3 linked regions of the Arabidopsis thaliana genome follow. The protein of the gene in region 1 interacts with the protein of each later gene in a pairwise test. Each region holds a gene or a part of one and is shown in the gene's direction. Other genes may lie near its edges.

What was found.
Region 2: the proteins of AT1G36060 (region 1) and AT1G10610 interact in a two-hybrid assay, tested with the Arabidopsis thaliana proteins (one large-scale study listed by BioGRID).
Region 3: the proteins of AT1G36060 (region 1) and GATA19 interact in a two-hybrid assay, tested with the Arabidopsis thaliana proteins (one large-scale study listed by BioGRID).

What each region holds. Positions count from the first base shown.
Region 1 is NC_003070.9:13,454,389-13,458,145, reverse strand, and holds AT1G36060 (Integrase-type DNA-binding superfamily protein), read left to right. Parts: upstream 1-1,809; 5' UTR 1,810-2,483; coding exon 2,484-3,428; 3' UTR 3,429-3,650; downstream 3,651-3,757.
Region 2 is NC_003070.9:3,504,186-3,507,942, forward strand, and holds the start of AT1G10610 (basic helix-loop-helix (bHLH) DNA-binding superfamily protein), read left to right. Parts: upstream 1-2,000; 5' UTR 2,001-2,277; coding exon 2,278-2,387; intron 2,388-2,693; exon of another isoform or gene 2,694-2,846; coding exon 2,847-3,044; intron 3,045-3,123; coding exon 3,124-3,187; intron 3,188-3,264; coding exon 3,265-3,333; intron 3,334-3,413; coding exon 3,414-3,757. Other genes in the region: AMSH2 (associated molecule with the SH3 domain of STAM 2), read left to right, coding at 241-303, 384-458, 552-614, 697-749, 831-1,005.
Region 3 is NC_003075.7:17,268,158-17,271,830, reverse strand, and holds GATA19 (GATA transcription factor 19), read left to right. Parts: upstream 1-1,831; 5' UTR 1,832-2,168; coding exon 2,169-2,456; intron 2,457-2,577; coding exon 2,578-2,925; 3' UTR 2,926-3,142; downstream 3,143-3,673. UniProt on the Arabidopsis thaliana protein: Transcriptional regulator that specifically binds 5'-GATA-3' or 5'-GAT-3' motifs within gene promoters.

The sequences.
Region 1 (3,757 bases):
AAATTGCGCCTGAGATCACGTGATGCTTTCGTTCTCACGTGGCTCTTCTATCTTGCAACTTAATTATCACTTAAATCACTTATTGAAGAAGGTATTATTTCATCATTAAATTAAATTATCACTTAATTATATCACTGTTATTGTTCCAACGGTATTTGTTGACGGTTGGAGGTTTCGAGCATTATTAAGATGCTAAAATTGTCAAATTTAGTTTCAACAAAATTACTGAATTGAAAAGAGAAAACACTATTTTAGAAAACGTTTTTTTGTTAATGAAGTGTGTTAGTGGTAATTTTATGAAGCCACTCTTTCATTTTACTCATAACATCATCCATTTAAGTTCGGAGAAAATTCAAATGCAAAACATTTAGAAGTATATATTTCAAACATTTTTATTATAACAATAATTTTTCTTAACATTTCAAATATATTTATATTTTTGCGTAGAAATTTGAAAATATCACTTAATAAAACAAAATAATTTCTCTAAAACATCTTAAAGTGAAACGGAAGGAGTATAATAAAAATTGAATATACTTGCATAACAATTGGTCTTAAATGTTTTTCGATAAATCTATTTGTATAAGCATAGTAACTTAATGGTATAGTAGAAGTACTAATCGATCTCAGAAGGATGTTAACACTTTTTTTCTCAACTAATTTTCAACGACTGTTGCAAAAAGAAGGAAAAAACGTAAACACCGCAAAAATGGCAAAAAATGCGAATTGTGGCACTAAGGACATGTGACCTGGTTTCTTTGGCTAAGAACAAATGCACCTTTAACTTCTGCTCTGCATGGAATCTTCAGTCTCCACGTACGAGTCCAAGTGTCGTGCGAATGTTAATATTCAAACTCTACAATAATTATCATCAAACAATATAACCAATTCAAGTATTGATTTGTTTCCAAAATAACCGTTGTACTTATGCTTACGCAAGTCCGCAAGTTCATATTTGATATGCTTCTGTCTAGAACAGCTCTGCCCACAGTACTCCGTAGTTCGTCCGTACTCGCTACCAAGAAGAACAAATTCAACCGTATAAATGTTTATGTGGGTTTTGACCCAAAACACTTTGTCATAATCCTTGCTCAAAAAATCGTTAGGCGCTAGTCGAACGATGAGGATAGGTCTATCACCTAACAAAAAAATCAGAGATTATACGAAAATTAATCGGAAATTAAGTTTAGGGTTATTTAATATTTTTAAAACATATTCCTCCATTACAATTAAGAGAATTATATAACATTGTTTTTAGAATTGTATTAAACACATGAAAACAAGATTTTAAGTTCAAATTTATGATTTTTTCATACAAATTAGAACATAAGTTTGATGTTTTAAATTTGGATATTTAAAAAGTTGGATATTTTTAAATGTTTATCTTAAAAAATAAAAAAAAATGAAAAAAAAGTTTTGGACTAGGCATCCTCTAGACAGGTTTAAGCGGATCTATGATGAATAAATCAGATCAACGATTAATCTTTTCGATTTGGACAAAATTGCGGTAGACTCTATCCGATCAGCCGACTTTTTGAACAAGGGATTCATAACTATTCTTCGAAACATTTCACTAGTTACAACATTTATATTCAGTTTTTATTCAATTATTTTTTATACTTCTTTTTTTATATATATTTGGATCAAATATGTATCTTATATAGTGGGAGTCAAATACATTTTTTTAAAGTCAAATACGTTTTTTTAAAAGTCAAGTACATTATTTTAGGATTATTGATGTACAAACAATATTTTAATCTATCTTCATTGAACAAGCCCTCTATATAAACGGTGAGAGTTGGGTGGGTATTACCAAGGTGAGGTTGAGAGCATCTTCCAAAAGAGAGAGTGTTTGTGTGTGTGAGAGAGAGTGAGTGTGAGTGAGAGAAGAAAAAAAAAATTGAGAGATTAAAATTTGAGTGAAATTAGGGTTTATTCTCTTCTTGCTTTCTTTGCTTCGTTTCATCTTCAAACCAAAAGAAAAAAACTCTTCCATGTCCTGTCTATTCATCAGTCGTCTTTCTTGAGAAAACACAAATCACGATTTTCTTATGAAGTGTTGCTTTATGAGTTTATATTTTGCCAAAACTCATCTAAAACGACAAACTTTTGTTTAAAATTGTATTTGAAAAGTGTTTTCAAGAAAACGATATCCATCAAAAATATTATGATTTTTTCTGTCAATTAATATTCTTTCATTCTTTTATAGAGTTGATCAACTTCATGGGCATTTTTTAGTTCCCTCAAGTTTTGATCCTCTTATTTTATTTCTTTTTTTGTTGATAAATTTATTTTAGTTTTGATCTATGGAGGTTGCTTATTTCAAACCTCGTTGATCACTTTTATTTCTGTATAAACCAAAAAACCAGTCTTTGAATTTTTTCTAAAAAGACAGGTTTTATTTCTTCAACCATTTTTTAATTATAATTTTATATAATCTTGTTTTTTGTAGTACATTTTTTTTTGTATTTCAGGAAACTCCGATGGCGGATCTCTTCGGTGGTGGCCACGGCGGCGAGCTTATGGAAGCACTTCAACCTTTTTACAAAAGTGCTTCCACGTCTGCTTCAAATCCTGCGTTTGCGTCCTCAAACGATGCGTTTGCGTCTGCCCCAAACGACCTATTTTCTTCTTCTTCTTACTATAATCCTCATGCATCTTTATTCCCTTCACATTCCACAACCTCTTACCCGGATATTTATTCTGGATCCATGACCTATCCATCTTCATTCGGGTCGGATCTTCAACAACCCGAAAACTACCAATCTCAGTTCCATTACCAAAACACTATCACTTACACTCACCAAGACAACAACACTTGCATGCTTAACTTCATTGAGCCGAGCCAACCGGGTTTTATGACCCAACCGGGTCCGAGTTCGGGTTCGGTTTCAAAACCGGCTAAGCTCTATAGAGGAGTGAGGCAAAGACATTGGGGAAAATGGGTCGCGGAGATCCGTTTACCCAGGAACCGAACCCGACTTTGGCTCGGAACATTCGACACGGCTGAAGAAGCCGCGTTGGCTTATGATCGCGCCGCGTTTAAGCTTCGTGGTGACTCGGCTCGGCTTAACTTCCCAGCTCTCCGATACCAAACCGGCTCGTCTCCGTCTGATACCGGCGAATATGGTCCTATTCAAGCTGCCGTAGACGCTAAACTAGAAGCCATATTAGCTGAGCCGAAGAATCAGCCGGGCAAAACGGAGAGGACGTCGAGGAAACGAGCTAAAGCCGCGGCTTCTTCAGCTGAGCAGCCGTCAGCGCCACAACAACATTCCGGGTCGGGTGAAAGTGATGGGTCGGGTTCACCGACTTCGGATGTTATGGTGCAGGAGATGTGCCAAGAGCCAGAGATGCCATGGAATGAAAATTTCATGCTCGGCAAGTGTCCTTCTTATGAGATAGATTGGGCTTCAATTTTATCGTGAAAAATTAGGATTCAATTCATTTTTATTCATTTTAACTTGTTTGTATTTTCTTTTAAACTTTAGGGTTATTAGCTGTGCGTAAAATTTGTAATTTAGCATTTTGTATGAATGTAATGCAAGTGTGTAAATTATGGACAGCTCAAGCTTTTTTGTTCATGCCGTACCATGTAGACCCTTCTTCTTTTCTCTTAATTGAAATGAATATGGTTAGTATTACTACTATGAATATATTGTAACACATTAGAATCGTGAAGTTCCATTCTGCGACAGGACCATTGTGCTTAGCTTAGAAATGATTAAAAAGTAAATTAGTCTAAAAGGGAACAATA
Region 2 (3,757 bases), about 10 Mb from region 1:
ATCAAGGAAAATGTTAGAAAGTTTCAGACTTTATTGTTCCTAATTACAACTTCTAACAGAGATCTTTGCAAATTTGAATTTTTAGTGAAACTCGATCTATGCTATTGTTTAAAGTTTACACCTTGTTTTGACTTTTGTGGTCATGATTCATGGTTGTTTTGCTTCTGTTCCAGGGTTCTTCGTTTTTCGAGTTTCATGAACCTGATGGTAATTACATTTCTATTTCTGTTCATGCTGTAGGAAAGAGGAATTTTTTATGTAACCACTCTGATAATACCTAAGCAAGAATCAACTTCTAATTCTGTGAGTTATCTTAGAAAGATTATCTCGATCATTTTGTGGTATTCAAAATGAGGTGCTTACTCAGGTGCTAAAATTGGCAGTGTCAGGCTATGAATGAAGTGGAAGTGTTTTCCATTCAAAACGAAAGAGAACTCTATCCCGTAGGATGGATTCATGTATATCTCTCTCTTCTAGCTCCCTCCATGTTTAGTGATCTGTTTATCTACTTTGTCTTGACTTACTATAACGAGGTTATGCATATTTTCCAGACTCATCCTTCTCAGGGTTGTTTCATGTCATCTGTAGATCTGCATACACATTATTCGTATCAGGTACATCTCTGCTGTTTCCAAATTGCATATATACTAGGTTTGAGACAATTCTGATCTCAGTTTCCCATCATGTCATTCTTAGGTAATGGTGCCAGAGGCTTTTGCAATCGTCGTAGCTCCAACTGATAGCTCTAAGTATGTTCTTCCAAAGCTATGGAGTCAATTATACAGTCAACATATTTCCTTGATAGACTCTCAAACTGATCTTTTTGGCAGGAGTTACGGGATATTTAAGCTAACGGACCCTGGAGGAATGGAGGTACTGAGAGGCTGCTCAGAGACTGGATTCCACCCGCACAAAGAACCAGAAGATGGGAACCCAGTTTATGAGCATTGCTCAAACGTCTACAAGAACTCGAACCTTAGGTTCGAGATTTTTGATCTACGTTAAGGTAACGACTTCTGTGGACTTATCAGTAAAAAGGTTCAAACTTTATCCACTGTGGGCTAAGGATGTCAATAATAACCGTCATCATAACCACCACCCTAACCAGAACTGTATACTTGGTCTGAGAAGGCTGTCTGATTCGGGTTATGAACACAAGGTACCTTCTATTAAGCTTAGCAATGTTAATAAATTGTCATGTCCTTAGATTTGGATCAATTGGTTCCATTATGGAAGAACAACAATGACCATAGACATAAGACATTGTATTGGCGTATGCAATTGTTATATATCTGTACAAATGTATACATTGGCATCTATTTCTCCATATAACACTACATTAATATTATCACCATATTTCGCCATTTTATACCTCTTAACTTGCCAGTGATGACTGATGAAAATGGTTGAGCTTTTAAAAAGGACGGGAAAATTTTAAACTTGAGCTTTGACTTGTTAAAAAATTATTCATTTTGACAGTTTTCGTCTGATTCAAGTTTCATTCTTTTCATTTCTCATTTGATTGATTAATTAGATACAAAATAGCCATAAATTAGCTGTAATAATAATTTAAAAGGTATCTTTGAGCTCTTTTTTGGTAAAGACATATTCCAAATACCTCTCTTCACATGAAACAAGAGTACAAACCCCAAAAACAGAACCAAAGGTCCAAACTTTTCTTTTGAAAGTAATAAAGCTATCAAAGCTCTTTCCTTGTTAAAGTAAATAGTACAGAGGATGGGTTTTATCAGAAAAAAAAAAGCTAGCTCATTTCATATTGTTGAGTGTTGCTATCAAAACCCATACAGATACAGTACTTTGTTTTGCTTCAAATCCCTTTATGGCCGTTTTCAAGCACATGATAGCTTTCTTCGTACAGTCAAGAGTAAAACCTCTCTTTTTCTTACCCTATCTTCTCTCTCTACAGATGTCACAGTCACCTCTGTCACGGATTTGGGTACAGAGACTCGCAGACGATTCACTCTTCTTTCTTTCTCTCTCTCTGGGTTTTAATTCAAAAAGTGAAGTTGGTTACCATTGTCTTGTACGATCGTATATTCCCGATATGATTTGTTTTGACAGAGCAACTGCTTTGTATATATATGCCAAATATCTCTCTCTCTCTCCCTCTCTCCTTGCATCAATTTATAAGTAAGACCAAAAGAGATCACCAAAACTCAGGCTTCTTGTTTGGCTTTTCTTATTGTTGATTGAGAGAGTGAGAGTAAGAGAGAGAGAGAGAGAGAGAGAGTGAGAGAGAGAGAGAGAGAGAGTGAGATGATGATGATGAGAGGTGGTGAGAGAGTGAAGGAGTTTCTTCGACCCTTTGTCGATTCCAGAACTTGGGACTTATGTGTTATCTGGAAACTCGGTGATGATCCTTCTAGGTTCAACACACTCTCCGGTTTTTCTTTGTTATTTGTTCGTTGTTCATGTGAATCATCATCAGCTGTCTACTATTTTGTTTCAGTAGCAAAGCTTCCGTTTTTATGTATACTGATGGGTTTTTCGTGTTTGTCTTTTATCTTTGCTTTCTGAATTAGGACTTTTTTTTTTGTTTTTGCTCTGTTATTGGCTTCCTGAAACTATTTTGTTTCAGTAGCAAAGTTTCCATTTTTTTGATTTTGATTAGTCCTTAGTAACTTCTGGCTCTGTTCTATCAAATTTCTCTGGTTTCTGTTTTTTTTTTTTTTTGCTCATCTGGTTTTTGATTTTAATGGTTTATGGTTTGTTTTGCTTTACCATCTACCTCCTGTTCTTGGTTTTGTCTTGTCTAGTTTTACTAAAAGTTTGTGGGTTTTATGATCTTCATCTCGTAATTGGTATGAATTCCATTTAAACTACAGGTTTATTGAATGGGTGGGATGCTGCTGCAGTGGTTGTTATATTGATAAGAATATAAAGCTTGAAAACTCAGAAGAAGGAGGAACTGGGAGAAAAAAGAAGGCTTCTTTCTGTAGAGATGACCACAACAAGCATCGTATAAGAACCTTAGCTTGTGAAGCGCTTTCTCGTTTTCCTCTCTTCATGCCTCTCTATCCCGGGTATGTTTCCATCTATTCAACCCCCTTTCAAGTTAATTTTTTCTTCAAGAATAATATGAAGCTTCTTTCTCAATTGCAGGATTCATGGAGAAGTAGTGATGTCAAAATCTCCAAAGTGGTTGGTTAATTCAGGATCTAAAATGGTAAAAAAGACTCTTTTCGTCAGCCTTTTTTACTCGTTTGATCATAAGAACAATCTGATCTCCATGTGTTTTGGCAGGAAATGTTCAGCACTCGTGTTCTTGTTCCTGTGAGTGATGGTCTCGTTGAGCTGTTCGCTTTCGATATGGTAAAAACATGTTAGCATTTCGCATAGAAAGTCTGTCATTGGTTTTGGTGGTTACTTCATAAAATGTTGGTCTGTATCAGAGACCGTTTGATGAAAGCATGGTGCATTTGATCATGTCGCGTTGTACCACCTTCTTTGAACCATTCCCTGAACAAAGGCTGCAGTTCAGGATCATTCCCCGAGCAGAGGAATCTATGAGTAGCGGTGTGAATCTCAGCGTTGAGGGCGGCGGATCATCAAGTGTTTCCAATCCCTCCAGTGAAACTCAGAATCTTTTCGGCAATTACCCGAATGCTAGTTGTGTGGAAATTCTCAGGGAGGAACAAACACCGTGTTTGATAATGAACAAGGAAAAGGATGTTGTGGTGCAAAATGCCAACGATTCCAAAGCTAATAAGAAGCTGCTTCCTACGGAAAACTTCAA
Region 3 (3,673 bases), on another chromosome or scaffold:
ATTTTTGTGTAATTGGGACTTGTCGAAGAAAATAACGAATGTTAGTGCGAAATCTAACAACATTCAACCAAATGAAGGTGATATGATGGGCCAAGAAACGTGGGCTGGATTAGGCGTTATCAGGCTTCAACAGCTCAGTTAGATTATAATAAGATTAGAAGTCACGTGAGTGAAGAGACATGACATGTAATGTGAAATTACGAAGTCGAACACTTTGCGTCTTGGGGTAATCGTTAGGGTTAGGTTTCGTGTTCTACGAAGCAAAGAGCATAAGAGACAGAGAGGCATCTTTTGGGAAAGCGGTGGTCGCCGTATCTCAATTGAACCAAAAATTAACCAATCTCAAGACCGATCCGATTCTCTTTGTTCCCTCTCTCTCTGGGTCTCTTGGTGTTCTTTTAATCTTTTTTACTCTTTCCCGTTTCACGCATTTTGTCCACTCGTGTTTGGCGGCACACGACATCCTCCAACAAGATTATTGAATTGATATTCTTAAAACTCATCAATTTGATTGTTTTCCTTTTGTTGAACGAGTGAGGTTTATAGAAAACACAGTTGATATTTCATGTTTGTAATAAAATGAAATGAATGTTGGTAAATAAGATAATGAAACTCAAATAATAGTATATATAAACATAAAACGTACAATTTATTTATTCTTAATATTTTTTTTTTTAGTTGAGAGCTTATAAAATTAGTATAAAAACGTTACACATTTTGACGTACCCCATTACGATAATTGATCCAAAAATGGGTCGGCCGATCAAATTTAAAATTATTTGATACAAAACCTTACTTTGAAAGCAAAAAAAACATAGATCTGTTCTTGGAGATAACGTAACTTCGTTATTTGATCCAAAATTAGATAAAAAGAGAAAGAAGATAAAGGATAAAGAAATAAGAGCTTAGAGCTACAGAGTGTACTCATTTGATGGGTTCATTCTCTTTGTACCCTTTTTCTTTTAAATTTTAAATTTTGGTTGGAGTTTGCTTCTTTGACTAAATCAATAGAAACATAGAATAACTCTCACCAAGCTAAAGAAAGAACACAATGTAATTGCTTTAAAATCATTGCAAAGTATCTCACTTTGTCTTTATTCCTTTTTAGTTCACTTATAACTTGAACATTGGCTAGTTTTGTTCTTTTAACTCCTTAAAAGCACCGATCTTGGCGATTACGATCTCTCATGCTTGACCACAATCGTAACAACAATATTCAATCACATACAAAACAAATTTTTTGATTAAGGTTAAAAACAACATAATTATACGTCATATACAACATTTTATTTGTATTATTACGACTGTCGTTAGAGAGCCACTGAAATTGTAGTGCGGTGAACATTAACAGTGTCGCACACTATTTGAATTTAGAACATAAAATGGATTCATGCATATATGAGAGTATGACACGTCGAATTGGTGAAGCGAGCGATGACGTGTGGAAGAAGAGATTCGGAAAGAGAAGGAGCGTTTAATTTCGAGATGATCGTGATCAGAGAGAGACCAGATCCTTGGAAGACCGTGACATTGCCAGTCACGTGCCTCTTTTTTGACTACCTTCCTCTCTGCTGCTTTAACTGCAGATGTACTTATCATTTATTTTCTTACTTTACCATTTAAATAATATATCAAAACACTGTAGTTTGCTTAGCATTGTTAAACAAGACTACTCACTTGGTACTTGGTCGTGGAATATTATACGGTATGCAATGAATTTGCATAATAATCTAGATTCGGAGCAGTATCATTAATTAATTTTGTTAGGTTAAAACGTTTTGTTATTAAAAATCGCTTAGAACTGAACAAAAACCAACACATATTTAGAATATTCATTGCAACATCTTTGTAGACAAACTAAAGGAGCAAATTCACATGTAAATCTAAAGAACAAAAGAATAAAGCATAGATTAATCATACACACATAATAAGACCGGGACCAAATTTTCCTCTTTTGCCAAGTTCCCAAATTCTCTATAAATACTTCTTGTCTCCATTTCACAACAGCAACGTGGACTCTTTCTTTGTTTTGGCTGACTCTTCTTTCACCGTTTCCTTAGAGAACTTATTCATCTCATAAACACCACACACAACACACACTTCTCTTTCTCCTTCTCTCTATATATTTTAATATCAACTTTCTAGGGTTTCCAAGTTCATATATAGTGATGGGTTTCTCAATGTTCTTCTCCCCCGAAAACGACGTCAGCCATCATTCCTCTCCATATGCTTCTGTTGACTGCACTCTCTCACTTGGAACTCCCTCCACTCGCCTCTGCAACGAGGATGATGAACGTAGATTCTCGTCTCATACCTCCGACACCATAGGCTGGGACTTCTTGAACGGTTCCAAGAAAGGCGGTGGAGGCGGCGGACATAACCTCCTCGCTCGCCGTTGCGCCAACTGCGACACCACTTCTACTCCTCTTTGGAGAAACGGTCCAAGAGGTCCCAAGGTATTTAATATGTAACCTTTACATCAAATATTTTATCATTTCTTGATGTGGGACTAATATTTCTCTCTGTACAACAAAACAAATATTGATAATAACTTTATATGATTTTTAATTTGGTCAGTCGTTGTGTAATGCGTGTGGAATCCGATTCAAGAAAGAAGAGAGACGTGCATCGACCGCCAGAAACTCGACCTCCGGCGGAGGATCAACTGCAGCTGGAGTTCCAACTTTGGATCATCAAGCAAGTGCAAATTATTATTATAACAATAATAACCAATATGCTTCATCGTCGCCTTGGCACCATCAGCATAATACGCAGAGAGTTCCATATTACTCGCCGGCCAATAACGAATACTCATACGTTGATGATGTCAGAGTTGTTGATCATGACGTCACAACCGACCCGTTCTTGTCTTGGAGGCTTAACGTCGCCGACCGGACCGGCCTTGTCCACGATTTTACGATGTGATGAGTGATCATTTCATAGATATTCCCCTTATAAGTCTTAGCCTTGGATACCTTTTAACAAAAAAGAAAAGTCTTAGCCTTCGTTAAATTCTTTATTTTACTTTCCTTTAAATATAAATATTTAATGTCTTTTTTTGGTCTCTGTGTAAGTGTTTTTCTTAAATTTATAATTCGTATGATGGATGCTACTTGTGTTTTCCTTGCATGACTTTTAAAATGTTCTCTCGGGTAATGAACTAATAATTCGTGACTTTATAACCTTTACATGATGTGTGTCCTACTTTGACCACGATTCAGTGATATACTATACATATACAGAATACATATTCATTCCTTTAATTTCTTTTTAAAGCATCTTTGGGTTTTTGTACGGAGAATGTGAATATTTTGGGATGCAGATACTATCTTCACAAATACTTATATCTTAAACGTTTAATTTGTGAGTTTCTTTTCCAAATTGAAATAATCAAATACTTGGACCGAATTTGAAAATTAAGCCAACAAATATCTGCAGGGTGGCCAAGCTGAATGTTTGTCGTGTTTTGCCCAAATTGTCTTGGAAATTTGACCATCAATTAGGTCTTCGTGTGCTGCTCTGCTTAAAACTGTTGCTGCCAACTGCATGTGAAGAATATTTATCTTTTTCATAACGTGTTTAGTTATTGTATTAAAAAAACGTTAGTTTTTATTTGATTGTTTCCGGAAACACAATCCAAGATAATAAAGTGTTTTGAAACTCTATAACAACA